2 linked regions of the Stegostoma tigrinum genome follow. The protein of the gene in region 2 purifies or fractionates together with the protein of the main gene of each other region. This does not show direct contact. Links are inferred from orthologs where the notes say so. Each region holds a gene or a part of one and is shown on either strand. Other genes may lie near its edges.

Region 1 (11,108 bases), on a different chromosome or scaffold from region 2:
GTATGATTTTTATGTTAAAGGGGAGATGAACAGGCAGGCACAAATTGACTGTCCATGGTCAAAACAGCAGTATGTTACCATGAACTGCAAGTAGCTTTTTTTTTTCAGAAATGGGTCAATGTCATTGGTTTTTGGAGTCAGCAATGTGCGTACACAACTTGTGTTTTCACCTCTTTCTGCAGATTCTGCTTGTTTAGACTTTGGTTGTTGCATGTGCTTTTTATGCACTGGAGCAAGACCTAATTGTATTAAAATTGTGTATCATATGGAGCTGCCCAAAGCTTCTGTTAAAATAAAAACTGTACAATATATAGTTATATATATGTATAGATGTGCTGAATGTTGTTTATATTTTTATAAATGTCTATGTTACGTTTTATGCTTAATATTAAAAAGGATCAATCAGTGTAAATGACTCACATTTAACTTCAATTTAATCTGTTGTGGTTTCTCTCTCTTGTCAACTGCATATGCAAATCACAACCTGTCACTGGTTAGGTAACATGTATCACTCTCTTCTGGAGTTAATGTGAATAATCCCATTAGTAAGGTCTCTACCCTACCTTACCAGGTGTCAACTGCGCTAGTGACTTGGGCTGAAAAAGGAAGACATTGTTGGTTCTTGGATTTGGAATACCCTGGAAAAGCTGCAGTCTTTTTTTGTTTGCTTACTCCAGAAGGTGGTAAGCAGTTTTCCCAAGTAAAAGTCATTTGTAAGGCTAAATTGCTTACAAACATACAAACATATGTTACGAATTTAAGAACAGGAGCAGGAATAGGCCATTCAGCCCCTCTAGCTTGTTCAGCCATAAATAGGATTATGGTCATTCTGATTGTAACCTCAAATCGAGACTCCCACCTACCTCTAACTTTTCAAACCCTTGCTTGACCGGAATCTATCTGTGTCTGTCTTAAAAATCTTGAGGCTTGCTCGTTCATTTCAAAGACAGTTAAGAGTCAGCTGTACAGTGTAGACTGGAGTCATATGTAATCCAAAGCCAGATTGCCCTTCCAGATTCATTTGGTACTTTATGTTACTGAACATTTACAGTCATTTATTTTTGGCATGAGTCCACAAGTCCTGTGTTTGGCTGCTCTACTTTAAAGGAAGATATAAAGAAAAATGGATTTGCACTTGTATAACTCCCAATCAAGATGTCCAAAACATTACATCCAAAGAACCCTTTGTTAATGTCACAACATAGAATGGACAATAACATATTCATATGGTAGCTTAATGTAATAATGTGTTTCAAGGAAACATTTTGAAATAAAATCTGTCAGAAGGCAATACAAAGGAGACTTTAGCTCGTGGAACTAAAGGATTGGTCAAGGAGAAGTTTCAAGAGATTCTTAGAATACTAGGTACAAATTTTTGACCAGAGCAGACCTGATGACCTAAAGGGCTTCTTTCTGTGCTGTGGACTTCTATGACTTGTGGATGGAATGCTACAGGAGGTGCAAGGGAAAGGAGGTGTAGGAAAGATATTGCATGGAGTGGGACCAAGGGGAAAAGTGAGCCACTCATGGTAAAGCTATTAGAATTTCAGATGCTCAAAAGGCCAGAATGGGAAGGACACAGATATTTTGGAGGTTTGAGAGGTTATAGCTAGGGAGAGCCAAGGCAATGGAGGGATTTGAAAACTAGTCTGTTAGTTTTAAAATCAAGATATTTCTTGACTGGACGTGAATATAGTCAAGTGAACACAGAAGTTATAGCTGACCTGGACAAGGAAGATAATTTGCCTCATTTAATCTTGGGAAGAAATATCTGGCCATGTACAATTAGGTGTTGACATGAATGGAGATCATCAGTCACCTATCTCTGAACATATGAAAATGATGAGCAGTATAATACCAGATAGTCCATCAAATGTGAACACTCATGATGGCCATTGCATCATGAGTAGAATTTGCAACTTCAGAGAGATTACTTTGGGAAAGGTAAAAATAGTACAGAAAAAAATATGGAGAACAAGTCAAGAAGTACACTGAAAGATTTCTCTCTGACACTCACTCAAGTGATTGAAATAAACTCGAGATGATGTGTGTACCTACTGCCTAAACTCCAAATATTATTTTCTGGAATAACAAAGTGTGAAGCTGGATGAACACGGCAGGCCAAGCAGCATCTCAGGAGCACAAAAGCTGACGTTTCGATGAAGGGTCTAGGCCCAAAACGTCAGCTTTTGTGCTCCTGAGATGCTACTTGGCCTGCTGTGTTCATCCAGCTTCACACTTTGTTATCTTGGATCCTCCAGCAGCTGCAGTTCCCATTATCTCTGATCATTATTTTCTGGGACTGTTTTGTGGACAGTACATTGGCACAAGGTTTTAACCAATTTAGTTCTTCCCTGTTTATTTTCATCCTGTTCGTGAAACTGTGTCAGAGCTTAACACTAACTCTGGTGAGTAAGTAACCCACCTTTGTGCAACATTTTGAGGAATGAATATTTGTTCCCACCTCAACTTCCCCCTTCAAGATGGGAGGCAATGCACTAAATGCTCTGTAACCTCTGTCATGGATATAAGTAGGTAAGTGTGGTTTGGGGGCAACACAGCATCTCAGGCAAGGGGTGAGACAAATCTTGCAGCAATAGGCTTATGTATGCAACCCAGAGAGGAATGGAAATAATAAATCAACAATCCTTTCCCTTTCTAATAATCCAGTTGTCAAATAATAGTTTATTGTGTCATTAAAGTATCACCTAGAATGATAAAAGCAGCAGGTACATAGGAGTGCCACCATCTGCAAGTTCTTCTCCAAGATCCACATCATCCTGACTTAGAAACGCAGCAACAGGAGAAGGACATGTCAAGCCCACTGCACCATTTAATGTGATAATAGTTAATCAAATACTTCAATGCCTTTTACCCACAATGTCCCCATAACCCTGCATACCACTCATGTCTATCTCCCTCATTCCTTCAAACTCAAGAGAATACAGGCCCAATTTGTCCAGTGTCTCTCAGTCAGACAGTCCTGCCATCCCAGGAACAAGTCTGCTGTACTCCTATTGCATTCTCTCTCTCTGCCAATGATATCCTCCCTCCGATAAGGAGACCAAAACTGCACACAGTATACCAGGTGCAGTCAGATCAAGCTTCTCTACAATTCTATACAATTGAAGTGAGACTTTACTACTGCTGTATGCAAATTCTCTTGCAATAGGTCTGCCATTTCATTAGCATTCCTAAAGGTTTGCTGTACCTGCATGTTAGCCTTCAGTGACATATTGATAAGGACACCTACTACCAGACAAAGGTCCCTTTGTACATCTACACTTTCTAACCTTATTATTTAAAAAATATTCTGCGCATCTGATCCTCCTACTAAAGTGGATAATCTTACAGTTTTATTATGTTGAGGTGATGGCCTAGTGCTATTATTGCTCGAATATTAATTTGGAACCCCAAGTAATATTTGGGGGACCTGGGTTCAAACTCTGCCAAGGCAGATAGTGGAATTTGGATTCAATAAAAATCTGGAATTTAGAACTCTAATGATGACCATGTTAGGGGAAAGCCCCATCTGATTTGTGAATGACCTTTAGGGAAAAGAAACTGCTTTCTTAGGCTGGCCTACATGTGACTCCAGACCTGCAGCAATGTAGTTGACTCTTGACTGCTCTCAGCAATTAGAGATGGGCAATAAATGCTGGCCATGTCAGTGGTGCCTACATCCCATGAATAAAAGGGGAAAAATATATATACTCTCTCAGCCATGCTCTTGCCCAGCCACTGCTTTACATCTTCACAACACACTATCCCACTTATCTCTGTATTATCTGAACATTTGGGAATATTACATTTGGTTACCACGTCCAAATCACATATATACTTCGAGCAGCTGGGACACAAGTACAGATCCTGGGAGTACCCCACTAATCAGAGTCTGCCAACATGACCATTCTAGAGTTTTATTTCTGTTAAATCCATCCATAATTAATGTGGATGGACATTTTGGTTGGCATGGACCAGTTTGAGCTGAAGGGCCTTTCTCTGTGCTGTAGGACTCTATGACTCTTCTGTCATGTTTTAAGTCTAATTGCCGAGCGAATATTTTTGTGCAGATGTTTGATTTCTCATTTCTCTGCGTCATCTAGGTCGGGCAATTGTCTTGATCTACACCTGACCACGTTAGATGTCAGTGATAATGGGAACTGCAGATGCTGGAGAATCCAAGACAACAAAATGTGAGGCTGGATGAACACAGCAGGCCAAGCAGCATCTCAGGATGAAGGGTCTCGGCCCGAAACATCAGCTTTTGTGCTCCTGAGATGCTGCTTGGCCTGCTGTGTTCATCCAGCCTCACATTTTGTTGTCACGTTAGATGTCTGCTCCTTTCGGCACTGCAGCAACTCCGGGGGGAGGGGGGGATCTTTGTCAATCACTTCTTGGACAATTTAGAAATGTGGTAGGGAAGTTTGATGACCTTTATTGTCTTCTCACAATGGTGAAATGAATCAAAGTCACAATGTTTACAGTTAAATTTGATTATATTTTGTTCAGTATAAATGAGAGTTGTTGCATTTTGGTATCTGGAGGGCATTGTTAAGTGCAGCAGTGTTATTTTTTATGCTTTGGACTTAAGTGTAACTTACATATAATTCATCCATGGCCTTTCTGGTAAGTGGCGCGTCTGGGAGTGCGTGCCCTGTCTCGGCTCCATTCCGTTGTGGTGGTCGGTCTGCGGGATGGTCTTTGATGTCTGGCTGGCTATCCCCCTTTCCCTTTCCAGTGGATTCCTGTATGCATTTCGTTTCGCGGGGGGGGGGGGGGGGGGTTATGGGCACTGAGTTGACTCGGCGGCAGGGTATTGCGGAGGCTGGAAGGTGTTGGACCGAAGGCAGAGGGTGCTGAAGTTGTTCGGCGGGTTTGTGGTGAAGCAGCGTTGACGTTTTGCATTTCTTCGGTACTAAAGGAAGAGATGGAAGTGTGGTAGGCTGTATACAGGGAAAAAGGTGGGACAGAAGGAAGGCCCCAGAATGATGGAAGGTGGAGATCATAGTTGTCACAGAAAACAGAGCAAAGGGAGATGTGATAATTATATAGATGAGAGATAACATATGGATGGGGTAGTGTAGGGGGAGGGGCTTAGATTAGTTCACAGGTCGGTGCAACATCGACGGCCGAAGGGCCTGTTCTGCGCTCTATTGTTCTATGTTCTTGGTTCTAAAATCCATGACAATACATCACCTCCTATCCCAAGTAATTTTCAATTTAGCTAACCAATCTCCTGTCTGAGACCTTACCAAAAGCCTTCTGAAAATCCCAGTATACTACTGCTTTTGATTCCCCTTTATCAGTTTTGTGAGAGCGTCCTCAACTCCAAATTGGAACTATTTTGCCATTCCTTCACTATCACAAAATCCGAGAAATCTCTTCTACAGCGCTGCGGGTGGCCCTCCAACGCAATGCTTGTGATGGTTGAGGGAAGTGGCTCAGCAGCACTTTTTTTTCTAGCGTAATCAGGAACCAGCAATAAAGCAAAGCCCAAATTCCCTTAATGAATTTAAGAAAACTGACCTCGGCGTAGTACAATATATATTAGGTATGCAAATACTGCCCACTCTGCTGGGGAGATTTCCTCACGTAACCTCCAATGACCCACCCCCACACTCTTGCTATTGGCCTATTGTCCAGGAGCACCGACTTTCGACAGCCAATTGGAGACTTTCTGAGCCAATTGGTTGTTTAACTTTAACTGTTTCACTAGCTCCCAACCATGCAACCATCTTGTTAGCAAATAAACTTGAAAATGTCTGTGGGGTCGCATTAGCAGTGTCCTCTTGAGCCAGGCTTCAAGACCCACCTGTTCTACAGATGTATGTCTGAACAGGTTGTTTAAAAAAATCCCTACCTCTGGACTATCAGCCATAGAAGTCGTCATTGGACAAGCATATGGACGTACATGGAATAGTTAAGTTAGATGGGCTTAAGATGGGTATGACAGGTCGGCACAACATCGCGGGCCAAAGGGCCTGTACTGTGCTGTAATGTTCTATGTTCTATGTTCTATAACATGTCTAAACAGGTTTAAAAAAAAGTGATTGTGCACCTATTCAAAGAAAATGAATAATAAGTTTCATTAAAATCACTGTGGATAATCGCCAGCAGATGATTTTCTATCCCTGGCCAATCCTGGAGGGTTGGTGATATCAATTTTATAAACAAAGAAATTTCTGACAGAGATAGTAGGAGCTGCCGATGCTGGAGAATCTGATATAACAAGGTGTAGAGCTGGATGAACACAGCAGGCCAAGCAGCATCAGAGGAGCAGGAAAGCTGACGTTTCAGGTCTAGACGCCTCCTCTGATGCTGAGATAATAAAATGTGAGGCTGGATGAACACAGCAGGCCAAGCAGCATCTCAGGAGCACAAAAGCTGACGTTTCGGGCCTAGACCCTTCATCAGTCTCTGGTTGGATCAGACATGAAAGTACAAGTTTGCAAAGGAGTGATGATTCTCTGTGTGTGTGTGTGTGAAAACAGACTGTCAGTGAGTGGGCGGAGCTTTCCCAGCTGTTTTTGGATGAATTTAAACCTGTAGCCAATCGCGATGGGGCTGTTGTCAAAATCCGTTAAAGAGTAAAAAGTAAGGGAGAGTCCTGAGCTGGTGGGATTGGGAGAAGTAACCGGGAGACTGGTTAGACAGCTCTCGCAGCAGCCAATCGCTTCTCGTAGTCTGTGTTTGAATGGACTGTTGGTGAATTTCAATCGTGGGGAACGGGAAGAAAATATACGGCGAGTCAAGGAGCGCGGCTGCTTTTGTAACAAGGGATTTTCGAGACTCGTCAAGGAAGACTCTAAACTTCTGTCTGTGCAAAACTAATTCTGGGCGTGCAAGCCGGCAGAAGCCCCCCCCCCCCCAATTCTGGGCGTGCAAGCCGGCAGAAGCCCCCCCTCCCAAATTCTGGGCGTGCAAGCCGGCAGAAGAACCCCCCCAAATTCTGGGCGTGCAAGCCGGCAGAAGACCCCCTGTCCCTGGAGTGAAGGGAGCGGTGAAAGCAGGCTCTGGGTCTGAAATCTCCAGCTTTACCTGGGACCCTGGACCATGAATGATTCCCAGTGCCTCGATGACCTGCCGATCGTGTCCAGGTGGTGTGGTGCTGCCAGGCAGGAGCTGGGACTGAGAGAGTTTTATAGCGAGACCCAGCGCCTGGCTTTGGAAGAGCTGATCTCCGGCGGCGAGGAGGCTTACAGCGCCTTACTAAAGAGAGAGAGAGTCCAGGGCTTCCTGTCGGCCGATGAGATCGCCAGCATCCTGCAATCCACCATCAGCCCCCCTGGGCTAGACAGCCAGCCACTCGAGCAATCCTTCACCTGCTCCAGTGACCTAAGCTCGGGGACCTATTTCCCCGATGCCTCGGACATTGAGGTGCCGGTTCTGGACATTGGGTGGCCGGTGTATCCGAGCAACTGGTACCGGGGTGTGACCCAGGTGGAGGTGTATTTCCAGCCCAGCTATGGGGAGCTCATCTACAGCTGCAAGGAGGCGATCAGGAAGCTCATCAGAAAGGCAGAGAAGGTAGGTTAGGGGGAATATGATTAACCTGGTACTTTCCATACCCGCCCCTTGCGCGGATTTGTTTTTCATTTTGGACGTTTCATTTCAATCTAGATTCTCTTGTATGTTGAATATTTAATACATGTTAAATGCCAAAGATAGAAACTTACTTTTTCCAAAATACAGAGCTATATTTTAACAGAGTTAATCTAGCCAGTGGAAGGAAAGGTTGAGTGACTGGAAACAGCCAGCAGTGTTGTTTGGATGGTAGAATGGATACGGTGGAGTTCCCCAGGGTTCGGTTTCAGCACTTTCTTTGTTCTATATTAAGACCTTTGTGCAAAAGACTGTCAGATACAGCGTAAAATTAGAACTCTCCAGTCCTGTAATGATTAGGATTTCTTGCTGTTACCATTACACCCAGGGTTGGATTCTTGTCCAGGCAATGATTCCCCACAGTTTACACAAAGTCTTTGTGTAATGTCACTGCCCTTGTAATACAGACCTTGCACACTCAGGATTAAATAGATCCCAAGCCCATCACAGCAGCTGGGAGCAATTCAAAACCAGTGGCTAAATCTGAAAATATGAAGCAATGTTTAATGTAACAGTGACCGCTCCATGGTCATCCGTCCATTGGAAAAGCCTTCTTGTTTTGGCCTACATGCAATGAGGCTGAATCTGAAATTTCAAGCCGTTCAGTTCAAGGGGAATTTGTGGTAGGAAAATAATGCAAGCCTTAACACAGGGTCTCACATCCCCTTCGAAGAATAAAGAGGGGAAAATGTTCAAAGACAATTAAAGCTAAATGCCAGGAACAACTTGGCCATAGCCTGAGAGTTGAGGCCAGACAGTTTGAGAGATGTTAAGAACCACCTCTACACAACCAGGGTGTCAAAGGTTTGGAGCTCTCTTCGACAAATAGCAGTGGATGCTGGATCAGCTAATTTTAAAACTGAGATAGATATGTTTTTGGTAAGTAAGGGGATGTGGTCTAAAGACAGTTATAGGGAGTTAAGTCAGACATTGGCTGCTATCTCATTGAATTCTGGAACAAACTCAAAGGGTTGAATGGCCTACTCCTGTTTCTATGTTCCTATAAGCTTTTTTTTGCACTGTATAATATTCCAAGAGGTTCAGAATCAAGCCTGAAATTTCTTCAGAAGGTAAATATTTGGGAAACATTTGTACTGAGATTACTAATAAATGTGAGGAATTTATATGATGGCGATAGAACTGTTCTGGTTGATAATATATTGGTTCTAGAGTGGGACAAATAAGCCACTCCTGCTGATCTGTTCTATTTGTTTCATGAAAAATTTGTTTTCACTAGTAGCTTGGGTACTGTGATTTATTGTCTGTGCATTTAGACGTAGTAAGATTGCAGTGAAAACATGTAAAGACAGTGAAAGGCTGACCTGTTATTCAGTGCCCTGATTAATTGATGACCGTCTTGAGGTGCAGTGGTAGTGTCACTATCCTTGGACTGAGGGGCCCAGGTTCTAGTCCCACCTGCTCCAAAGGTATGCAATAACCTTTCTGAACAGATGGTTTCGAAAAATAGGTTAATTGATGGTCCAACAGATCCTGTTGTGCACAACAAGGTCAGAACTAAATTTTGTTGCTGACCTAGAAACTATTGTTCATTTAGTCATTTAACACCTGCAACGGAATAAGATAGGGCTCAGGTTTCTTGTTCACTGTGACTGCTTTTAATGTTTGCCCAAACCATGAGTTTTGGATGTTAGATGTTCAAATGATATTTGCATGTTTTTAAACACTGAAGTTAATTGTTCTGTGCCTCAGGCAGGATGAGTACAGACAGAAATTTTCTAACTAAAAAAAGTATAAAATTTTACAGATGCACGAAATCTAAAAAAGTAAAGAATGCACAAAGGGAGTGCTGATAAGTTATGCCGTACTTTTTTTTAGAGGGAATAAATGATTTAACTATTGGTAGCACCCTCCCCTCTGAGCCAAAGAGCTGAGAGTTCAAACCAGGCTCAGAAAAATAAAGCACATAATCTAGGGCGATGTGCCCAGAGCAATACCAAGGGAGTACTGCATGTTCTAACACAGACTCAGCTGCCCCATTGGGTGGTTAAGGTCCCAAGGCACATTCTAAGAAGAGCTGGGGGTTTCTTCTCTGGTGTCCCTCTGCCTCAACCAGGACCTAATGCTATTATCTGATCATCACATTCTTGTTTGTGGGACCTAGTACAATAAAACAAAAATGAACTGCTTTTGGTTTTCCATGATATAGGATACTCTTAACTATGAAAGTAATCATTTAGCTGTAAGTTGGCTCAAAGTCAAATGTCTAGACTTCAAAATTTATGTCCTTATTTTCAAATCAATCCATTAATTTACCCTCCTGATCTCCGTTACCATGTACAGTCCCACAACCATCCAAGAAATCTGTGGTCTCCTGGCCTTTTGCACACTCCAAATCATAAGTCCACCAATGGTGGAGTAATTAACTTCCAATGCTTAGACTCCAAGCTCAGGTATCCTTCTCCACCTTGTTTTTTTTCTCCTCCTTTTTAAGATGCCCATTTAAAACCTACCTGTTTGATCAAGTTTTTGGTCTTCTTACCCACTATCTCTCTATGAGGCTTGTATCATAATTCTGTTTCATTAGGTCTCTCAGGATGTCTCAATACATTTTTTAAGACACTTAATGCAAATTGTAAAGAACTGAAGTCCGGAAAGAATGGTGGAAATGGCATTGCATTCATTCTTTAAAATGAACAGAATCCTGTAAGATGTCACAAAACAGTCTTGATTTGATCTGCTCTGGATGGTAAATTGACCCACCAAGGTAAGAAGGAGGAGTAGAAATGCTAGCTGATTTGATGGCAGTAACAAGAGGAGAAACACAATGCCCTTAACTTCCAGTTACTGGAATCTACTGTTGCTGCCTTGGAGATAGCCAGGTTGGTAGCAATAAATACGAGGCATGGTCTGGGTGTGTTTGGTATAGAGGTAATTCTGTCTGTGGAAATGTATTATAGTGCAGTGATTCACTCTTGTGCAATACATGCGCTGATGTACAAAGAGCAAAGCTTGTAGGGTTTTTGTCATGTGATCCTTCAAGATTGGATTACAACTCTATCACAAACCCATTATAAAATGTACATGTACATGTTGATCAGCTGCCTTTGGTGTACAATAACTTTGGGCTGGAATGTCAGTGTTTTAACTTCTTTGGCTCTCTCCTGTGCCTAAATCAAATGAAGTAGGGACAGGAGGTGGTTGTTCAGCCCCTAGAACTTGCTCTGTCATTCAATCAGGGTTGATCTTACATTCCTCATGCCCCATTTCCTGCCCTTTCCTCATAATCCTTGATTTCCCCTAATGGCACGTGTGATAATAAAGCTAATTCAGTTTCAAAGAAGCAGATAAAGCATATGCTTCTATCTGTTTCCATAGCTAGTTTCTCCTGGAACAAGCTGTCAGCCCATCACCAGGGGTTATGGCTTGAGTTGCACCACTCCTGGATCAAGTACAGCTGTCCAGGACACTCTTGCCATCTGCCATTGGCGTACGGCTAGAAATAATATTGGCTGTACTACGTATGCGCTTTCCTTAGCCACCAA
Region 2 (10,576 bases):
CCGCTGTCCTCATGCGTACTATACCAGCATGCTGAGGGCACCAGTCATTTTCAAGGGAGAACTCAATTGTCTCATGCAGCTGTGAGATCAGGAGGGCAAAGGCCTAATTTGAGCCTGGGAATGGAGGCAGCCAAACAGGAGAAGCAGATATGCAGCAGTCTACATTTTTTTCTTGTGTGTGTAAAATCTGAGCACTCCTCCTGCTGGTTTCTTATTTTGGGTTTTTAAAAATTTTGGACCCCTCTGATTTGTAGCAGTCCCAATAAGCATCAATGTGTACGTCGCATACAGACCACATAATCCTAATGCCTACTGCATTCAAAATAGCTATTGTCGGCTCAGGTCCTAAAACAGGCTTTATTATCCCTATTAACAGATTTATGAGCCCCCAAGCTGAATTTTCAAAATAGAATCAGCAAACCCCTGACAAGTTGGTGAATTTCTGGTCCTGCCTGTGTGCCTGATGCTGTTTTTAAATGTAAACAGACTGATTGGAGAGGAGGTGAGCTCAGTGCTCAATTAGAGGTGCCAAGCAGATCTGGAATGTGGGAACAGCCTGTCTGGTGCCAGTGACAAACAGAGGTGGCAACCATGTTGGGAGGTGCTGCTGCCTTGACTAGGGCATCAGTTTATTAAAGGGCCAGGAGGGTAGTGATGATGCAAAGTGATCATGGACACAAAGCCATGGAACACCACCTCACCTGGCACTAATTGACAAAGCCTGGTCCAAGTATCCGAGATAATGGGAACTGCAGATGCTGGAGAATCCAAGATAACAAAGTGTGGAGCTGGATGAACACAGCAGGCCGAGCAGCATCTGAGAAGCACAAAAGCTGATGTTTTGGGCCTAGACCCTTTATCAGAGAGCTCTCTGATGAAGGGTCTAGGCCCGAAACATCAGCTTTTGTGCTCCTGAGATGCTGCTTGGCCTGTTGTGTTCATCCGGCTTCACACTTTGTTATCAAAGTATCAGAAATGGCATTTCTGGTGGTGGCAAGCAAAAATAAATTGTTTTACTCCCAACAATGTAGTTGAAAAGTTACAATAATATTCCTTGACACATCAGAGGAACTCAAAGCTATTAAAGCAAACTTCAGCTAGGGAATGCCTGTATTCAGGGTATTTTAAAGTAAAATTACACAAACTGTGAATCTACCTTAAGGACATAATTTAAATGTCAATGAAGGAAAAGTGACTTTGAATGACAGCTGAGATATAATTGACTGTTTATACATAAAACATGAAATTAATCGACCCTATAAGCTTAGTAACATTGTATAAACTTGTTGAGTGTGTTATGTTTTGGCAAAATATATGGTATTAAATGAAACACAGCCATATTCACCAATTTACCATAAACATAAAATTATATGTATGTGTATTGGATTCTTGTGACATTTTATGTTCCTTTTCTCATCAGAAATTTACCTCAATTGAGCAACATGTCAAATTACATCATACCTATGACTGCCTTTTGTTATTTTCTTTCCTACAATTAACCCATTTTCTCAGAAAGTAGTCTGCCAATACTGTCAACCAGAGGAAAACTGAAAATTTATCATGGTTCACAATTGGACAAAGCCATCAAACTTCCACAAATACTCTAATGTTCTGATACTTTTCTAAACAGAGAAAATGAAGACCAAACATAAGCCCGCTGAGCACATTTCTGGTTGAGAAATTTTAAACAAGTCAAAACTGGACAAAATGCAATAAAGAGACCAAATATACCACAGAATTTGGGAAAGGAAGCAAAGGGTTGGGAGCATAACTGTTGGAAGGTGTTGAGCCTTTCCTAGAAAGAGAGTGGAAGGCCCAGCATCTGGTCTTGAAAGGAGTGAGGGTGAAAGACATTGCCTGATCTTGGATGTTCTGAACCTTCAGTTATTTTAATCAATTATAACCATGTCCTGGCTTGATCATGTCTTATTTCTTTCCCATCAGGCAACCTCTTCTTCTTGACATTTTGTTTAAATGCAACATAAATTGCAATATGGTATTTGTTTGTTGTTTTACAATTTGCATATCTTCTTGATATTTTCCTTCCATTGAGAGAAATTACTATATATTAATAAAAATTATGCATTTAATTGATTTGATTCTTCTGCCCAATTTATCATTTGGGCAATTGAGAGATTTCTATTACCAGTGTTAAAAGAATAAGATGGCTCAACAATTCTCAGCTTTATTGTCTATTTGTTCATGGTATCCAATGAATATGATTTCCTGTCTTCATAATTTTTTACTAATCACCAGATAAAATAATACAATAATTACAAAACAAGTTAGGGCGTGTCACAAAATCATTCTAATCCAGAAAATTTGGATGGGAGGAGATAAGACATAGTTTGGTAAAACTTGAGAGGAATATGGATGCAAGCCAATAATTTCATTCAAAAGAAAGCAAATACCTAGCAAACATGAATATAAAGTTAATAATATGAACCTCAGATGAAAAATAATTGTTTTCCCACCGTTCGACAATCGTGTGGCAAATCCGAGAACAGTGCAGGAAACAGCACCAACCTCTATACATGGTCCTCTTCGATCTCACAAAGACTTTCAACTCAGTCAACCATGTTGGATTGTGGAATATCTTCATCAAATTCAGCTGTCTGCAGAAATTTGTTGCTTGCTTCATGATGACATGCAGATCATGATCCTCAGAAATGGATACACCATTCATCCAATACAAGTGCCACCTGGGGTTAAACAGAGCTCTGTTATTGCACCAATGCTTTTCTCCATTTTTGTCTTCTCAACAGTCCACCACATCTCCACGAAGCTCCTTGACAAGTGTGGCCAACCTATAGGATGAGTTTGAAACTGCTCAACTTTCAATGACTCCAAATCAGAACCATGACCACCCCAACTTCTGTCACCGAGCTGCGGTACATAGACGATGCTCGCATGTGGACACACGCAGCGGCTGAGCTACAAATCATGGTCAATGCATTCACCAAAGTATGTGAGAAAATGGGCCTCAGGTTAAACATACAGAAAACAAAGGTTCTCTACCATTCCACTTCTGTCACACATCATAGTCCCCAAACTATCAAAATCCACAGCGAGTCACTGAATGGTGAGGATCATTTCCCATAACTTTGGAGCCTTTTCTTGGTGTAAGCAGATATTGAAGATAGAATCCAACATCGACTCTAATGCATTAGTGCAGCCTCTGGGTGCCTAAGGAACAGAGTGTTTGAAGTCCAAGGCCTGAAATCCAGCATCAAGCTCATGGTCTGTAGAGTAACCATGGTCCCCACCTTCCTGTATTTCAATGTGAGTATCCTCCCCCAGTCCAATATCCCCAGTATCAAGAGTCTAGTCACGCATGACCAGCTGTGATGGACAGGCCGCATTGTCTGCGTACTAGGCAAAAGACTCTGTAAATAAATTTTTGTATTCTAAGCTCTGCAATGTTAAGCTATCACTTGGAGGGGAAAGGGAGCACTACATCTCTACTGACATGTGGGAATCTCAGACCAATGAACACATAAGCTGGAAGGAATATCGGCAAGGATGCCAAGGGCTGAATGATTACTTTGTTCAAAATAGAATAAGATGGATTAGAAAGTTGGGTCATAATATAAGTAGATTCTGTTTAAATCAAGAAGGCAACTATCAAGGCTGCTTGGTATAATTTCGACAACCAAATGGATTTACTTAGAATTTATTCCAACGTACCTATGATAGATGAACTAAAATGAACCTTCAGTTATCTTTGCTTAGGAGAATACTTTTACAGGACCTGATAGAGTAGCCAGATGCAAAGATCATAAGAAATTGGAATATGAGTGACCATTCAGCCCAACAAGCTAGTTCCCCAATTCATAAGATCACGGCTAATCTGAATGTGGCCCAGTTTTCTTCCTGCTTCTGATGATCCTTATCTTCCTTGTTGATCTAACTTAGACTTGAATATAGTTAGTGCTCCAGCTCTCTGTGAAAGCAAATTCCAGAGTTTAATGACCATCTGAGAAAAGAAAGTCCTTCTCATTGCTGTTTGAATTGGGATAACCTTACCTTTAAATTGTGCGCCTAGTTATAAATTACTCCACAAGGCGAATCATCTCTCATCCCTTTCAAACCCCATCAGGATTTTTCAACAAGATCGCCTTGCATTTTTCCAAATTCAAAATGGTATTGGCTCACCTGTCCAAACTTTCCTCATAATTTGATTTACTGTAGTCACATGTACCTAAATACAGTGAAAATCTCTGTTTGCGAGCAGTACAGGCAGATAATAGTAAGCAAAGACATACAGATCATAGGGTGCTTGGACAGAGAGAGTTACACTCCACAGGAGGTGCATGAAGTAAGGTCAATATTATTTGAAGTTAGAGAGCCTATTCATCTGTATAATAATGGCAAGAAAGAAGTTATTCCTGAACCTGTTGGTATGTGTGTTCAAGCTTCTCTATCTTCTACCTGATAGAAGATGTTGTCAGAGAGCATTACCTGGGTTGGAGGGATCTTTGGTGATGTCAGCAGCCTGTCCACAGCAACAAGCAGTGTAAATGGAATTCATCGATGGAGGGTCTAGGCCTGAAACATCAGCTTTTGTGCTCCTAACAGGCTGCTTGGCCTGCTTGTTTTCTTCCAGCTCCACACTTTGTTATCTCCATAGATGGAAGGTTGGCTTCTGTGATGGTCTGGGCTGCACACACCATCTTCTGTAGGCAGAGCAGTTGTCATACCAGGCCGTTATGCACCTGGATAGTATGCTTTCTATGGTGCATCCATAAAAGTTGTTAAGGGTCCTTACAGACATGCTAAATTTCCTAAGCTATCGGAGGAAGAATAGGTGTTGTTGTGCCTTCTTGGCCATTGCATCCAAGTGGGAAGTTCAGGACAGGTTGGCAGTTATCATCACTCCCAGGAACTTGACGCTCTCAACCCTCTTGACCTCTGCTCTGTTGATGTAGATGGAGGAATGTTCTCCAACATGTCTTTATTAAAGAAATCGGTCCAGTTAACCATCTCTGAATTATTTTCAAAGTGTCCATCTTCAGTAAGCAGCCCAAAACTATACTCACCACTCCCTGTGCAATTTCACTGCTCTGTACAATTATCACAAGACTTCCCTACTTATATACTCTATCCCCTTTGCAATGAAAAACATTCTATTTGCCTTCCTGACTACTTGCAGAACCTGCCTGGTACCTTTTTGAGAATTATGTACAAGCACTCATTTGTAAAGCTGGAAAGAATGGTTGGTTCTTATTCCAAGTTGTCTTATGCCTTTATGATAATATATCCTAAAATAATTGCAGAGTTATGTGAGACAACAGTGTGGAGCTAGAGGAACACAGCAGACCAGGCAACATCAGACGAGCAGCAGAAGGGTTCCAACCTGAAAAGTCAACTTTCCTGCTCCTCTAATACTGCCTGGCCTGCTGTGTTCCTCCAGCTCCACACTGTTGTCTTTGACTCCAGCATCTGCAGTTCTAGCTATCTCTGCAGAGTTATATGGTTTATTTATTGATGTGCTAAAGTACAAGGACAAAACCAGTAAAATACTTGGAAATGAAGTAACTGCTCATACTGAAGGAAATTCCATGTTTAAGTATTCCAGATGACTCAAACAGTATGCATCATTCACATTAAATTGGATTTTCCTTGTGGGTGTGGAATAAAATGTAAAATATCAGATGTGGAAAAAGTGTTTTTTTTGTTTGTTTTCCCCTGTTGGATAATCACTTCTACTTTTATACACCATGGGGCAAAATTTATTTAAGACTTCAATATTTACATCTGCTTTGTCAAGGCAACAGCTTTATGACCCATACAAGGGGCAATTGTCTGTCATTACCAATTGGTAAATGCACTTACTTGAAAACTATTGCCTGTTAATATTAAGCAATGGGGCATTAGCTTTCTCTGTAGGTGTACAGAGGAGGACATTAGGATGATTCCCACTGCAGGAACTCAATGTGTATGGCGTCACCGACAGTCGCACCACCCTGTCCAGTGACGTCACACAACGGATGTGATGTCAGACCGTTCGCAGTCCGGCAATGGCGAGCTAGAGCCGAGGAAGGAGAAAGGAGAGAGAGTCACTCGAATCCGATGTAATCCTGCGTGCAGGCGGCCAGAATGACAATAAAATTTGGTGGAGCATAATCTACGGCGTTTAACGTGTCGTCTGGTGTGGATATTGTCGGGGTGCATTTGGAAAGAAGCGAGAAAAGTGTTGGTGAAAATCCCTCTGTGAGAGAGACTGAGAACAGACAGACACACACACACACAGAGGGAGAGAAATAGAGTTTCTCTGAGTAACCCGGGTTAAAATCAAACTCACACAGTGGGCACCAGGCGAAACCCACCATGGAACTCAGAGTGGGAAACAGGTACCGACTCGGCAGGAAAATCGGCAGCGGGTCCTTCGGAGACATATACCTGGGTAAGAACTGAGAGTGGATTTTAGGAACAAAATAAGAGATAGAATAGTCTTCATAACAGCACGGCTGAAAAATAGTGTGAGCAACATATTTAGTCTTGTGTCACTGGCCCCCGTGGAAAAGAACACGGTAATAGTTAAGAAAGAAAAGCTGTCATTCACATAGTCAATCTCCATATCCACAAGATGCTCCTTGGGAAGATTATGATTCTCAGGAATCACATATGGAAAGAGCTGACTGTTAGATAATGTCCAGGGTTCATTTCACCAGAACAGATGGACTGTTCCATCAATCAAAGGATAGGATATCAGTCATTTCAACCCAGCAACAAAGAAATCATGAACGAGAAGCGTAACCAGCGAAGCTGTTTCTTTTAAAACAAAACCACAGCTGATCTATGAAGTAATGCTCCTGGGAAATACAAGCTGTGGGAAATCTGAGAGGAAGTGGTTGAAATCTTCAATGTTTCTCAGTAATGTGAATGTAAAACAAATTGTCAGTTACCAAGTGGTGTTATAGTGCTGTATGTTGAAGGGATGCTTCAAAGTAATTGTTTTGTTAGTGCTAAAGTAGTGAATTGTGGGAGGTTGGTAAACAATCGGACATGTTTCTGGTGAAAATCGTTAAACAGGATCTGGGAATATCCATTGTTTTCATACAAGCAAGAGTGATTGCCCTTTGGTTGGAGTTAGGGAGTGTAATTTATCTGTAAATCTGTTTATGAAAAAGCAATTAATCATTTAAATGTGGAGCATCAAGGAGCAAATACATGTGGATGAGCCGTAACAGGTTTGTAACTTGAATTTATGATGATGGGCTTCCGCATATCGGACTGCTGTCAGTGTCATCTTAAAGCACAGTTAGCATCACATTTCCAGTGTATAGATCGTTCATTTCCAAAATCCAGCCTTTTCATTGTCAGCAGAAAACCTGGTGTCAACATCTTGACTGTGTGCTTCTCGAAATGCACTGACAACAGTTGGAGTAACAATTGCATATGAGGTTTCTAAGATTTGGTTGTTTTCAATTCTTGCTTGAATCAGTTTGATCTTTTATTAAATTGAGTCCATCATTGGAATGGAAGATAATGAAAGTTAAATATTTGAAAAGGATGAAGTCTTTTAACACAAAAGCAAAATACCGCAGATGCTGATGGTCTGTATTTTCCAGCATCGGATGTTTTTTATCACTGTATTTTAAAATAGCAACTTGCTTCCATGTGGGAGAGCTTAACCTTTATGTTGAACCAATCAGCTGTGCAAACCAACAGAACTGCGCAAACTGATATCCATTCGACTATTTGTGATAATTAAAATAATTGTTTTGTATACCATCAGTAGCAGTTAGCCCGACAACGAAAACAGTAGTGGAACAGCAATTAAATATTTTCAATAATTATACCAATGTTAGTAGAGTCACTGTCTTATCAGTTTCACTCCTACAATGAATGTTGATTCTTAAGTCCTAAATGTGTTATGCTAATTTCAACGTTAACAAAATTTGTATCAACTTTTAGGGGGAAATTAATCAGTTATGGGTTTTAAATATTCTAAAATAAATCAAGAAGCATGTTGATGTGTAAAAGTATCTTCTTTCACTGGATGCCGTTCTAGATAGCTACTGTGACTTCCCTTGTACTGCTGTAACATAAATGCAGTGATAGTGTTGCCTCTTAGAGTGCTAAGAAGAACCTTGGAATTGGTAATTTTCCAGAACTACTCTCCTACCGCTGAAAGCCCTTGTTCTGATAGTGAGACTTTCCAGGCACTTTTTTTCCTATTTTACAATTGCTGTCACTGCACTGAAATCATCCTGCCCTGAAAATGAGTGAGGTGATGTGGGGTGAATTTTCATGAACACCATATTTTTACATTTTCTCTGATTTCTTTCTGCGGTACTGTATGCCTCTTCCTAAATTCACATTAAAACTGTTTCCAAATTTTGGCTAGTCCTGTTTATGAACAATGATTAAGGTTTGTGTCGTTTCAGGAAATGAATCACGCACTTTTACGCAGATATGCTCCAGGCCAAAATGAGAGCTCAGTGAACAAACTGTAAAATATTGTGGAATCAATTTTTCCTTTAATAATAAAAGGAGAACTCCAATTTAGTGAATTTTATAACGGTCGTACTTAGGGTCAACTGCTGCACTGTTTGCACCTTGCTAGAGGTTCTGATTGCTTTGATCTTGATTTCCTTTTTAGTATTTTAAGGACTAATGATGTCTTTGCTTGCTGTGACACACTGTCTTTTGCCATTTTTCTCCCTACTTGCTCCCTTATACCAGGAGTATATGTTGCATGGCCTCGTATATTCGTGTCACTATATTCTACAATCTTAGTCCTTCAGTGGGGGAAGTCTCTGCTTGTTTAAATGGCAGCCCAGATCATTCCTAAATATCTCTTTTTAGTCAAAATTCAGTGTAAAATTCCTGTGAAACTGTGTTTCTTTTGTGATTGAAATATACTTTAAAAAGCAGTGTTTTAGGAACCAATTTTCAGTATATTCTTGGTTGGATTCTCTCTTTTGTCGTGACTTGTGCTTTGCCTGTCACTTCCCCCTCCCCCTCAAGGCCTTGATTCCTTTGTTTCTTTGTCCTGAAGCTGTATTGTGTAATTTGTTTTATAAAACACTGTTCAGATGGCCTTAGAGAATGGGCAAGAACTAGTTTTTGTTGATGAAATGTGTTTTAAAAGACCTGGTTAGTTCCCACTGACGATTCAAATATCATTGACTATCAAAGTGCTTTGTTTTTTGTTTTTATTTTCAATTTTCTTTATTGTTTGGAAGTAAACTGTTGTACTTGGTAGATTGACCTCAAAAGCAGAAGTACTCCTCAAGTCCTATTTAAATTCTGAACTCAGTCCGGCTGATATGTAACAGCACCCTTTAATATCATTTGAATGTGACTGACAGTCTTGTGCCATCTGGTCATTAAAAAATATACTTCTTCTTGAAGTTGTTTTGTCTTTTATGTGCAGTAAATAAAGTGAGCAACTTCAGAACAAAAACAAAATGAGATTGTGAGCTTTCATAAGTAAAATTGATCTTCCAGAATATTTGCTCAAGTAGGGGTGAAGTTTTGATCCATTTATTTAGTAAAATGAAGGAATTGTTTACAACCTGTTGCTCCCCTTCCGAGAATGTTGGGAGATTTGTTCAAGCAAACTTGAACCTCATTGGAAATAAGATCAGAAAGTGCTAGAAAAAACCTAGGCAGTTTGTCAGCATCTCTGGAGAGAAACACAGTTAATGTTTTGAGTCATATTGGACTTCTGCTTTCTGTTTTTATTTCAGCTCTCCAGCATGTCCAGTACTTGCTTTTAGTTGATCCTAATTAGCCCCACTTAGCAGTTTTAGCGCAAAATCACTAAGTCAGAGAACTCTGATTTACTGCCTTATGTCTCATCTGGGTAAGATTGCCTTTCATTTGATCTTGGAACTTGAACTTGGTTCACACTTACCAGATGTTTTGCCACAACCATACAATATGACTCCAGTGGTTCAAGAGGCAGAGTTGTGCTCATGGCCTCCCATTTTTGTTTTACCAGTATTTGAATTTTGCATCCCTAATTATGCATAGGAGTTTGATGTTTTTTCCCATAATTCTGATTGTGGGTTATTAATTTCCAATCTGCCAGCATCTAAAATGTTAAATTCTTGCCCTTATCTTAGAACCCTTTCTGGACGTGTCCTTTGCCACTCTGTAACCTCCTTTGGCATCAGATTTTCCATTCTGTTGATTGTGGTCTTTCTGTAAAATGTTAACTGAAAAGACTACATTCTGAATTTATTGAAGATTTGGGATAGCCTGAAATAGAAGTCAGTCAACTAAATTATTTCCTGAAAACAACACAGCTAATATAGCAGGTATAGAATAATGCACAGCTTTAAACGTGATTTGAATTTTCTGTTAGATTGTTTGACCCACGAAGCTGCGGTGTGAAATGTTTCAAGTATGTTTGTTTATACTTAGAGGTGATTTGTGGCATGTGTTTTGTCTGACACCTTTTAAATGCCCCAATTTCCTTTTTTGAGAACAGCAGTGTGTGAAGCTGATGTTGTGACCTGAAATCACTTGACAGATGAGACCCTGCACAACTTGGAATTGGGTGGGAAAAGGCGTCTAACTTCGAGTCTTCTTATGGGGAGGGATGGGACAAAGTTCCCCC

What was found. Proteins that work in one complex are often made in the same cells at the same time.
Region 1: the proteins of casein kinase I (region 2) and fam83d purify together in Homo sapiens (affinity purification with mass spectrometry; 4 studies listed by BioGRID and IntAct, counting the BioPlex papers as one, with this or other methods). This does not show direct contact. The link is inferred for Stegostoma tigrinum from reciprocal best matches to the Homo sapiens genes CSNK1D and FAM83D.

What each region holds. Positions count from the first base shown.
Region 1 is NC_081372.1:13,694,153-13,705,260, forward strand, and holds the start of fam83d (protein FAM83D), read left to right. Parts: upstream 1-6,539; 5' UTR 6,540-7,056; coding exon 7,057-7,530; intron 7,531-11,108.
Region 2 is NC_081375.1:27,797,301-27,807,876, reverse strand, and holds the start of casein kinase I, read left to right. Parts: upstream 1-5,990; 5' UTR 5,991-6,330; coding exon 6,331-6,406; intron 6,407-6,871; exon of another isoform or gene 6,872-7,193; intron 7,194-10,576. UniProt on the Homo sapiens protein: Essential serine/threonine-protein kinase that regulates diverse cellular growth and survival processes including Wnt signaling, DNA repair and circadian rhythms. It can phosphorylate a large number of proteins.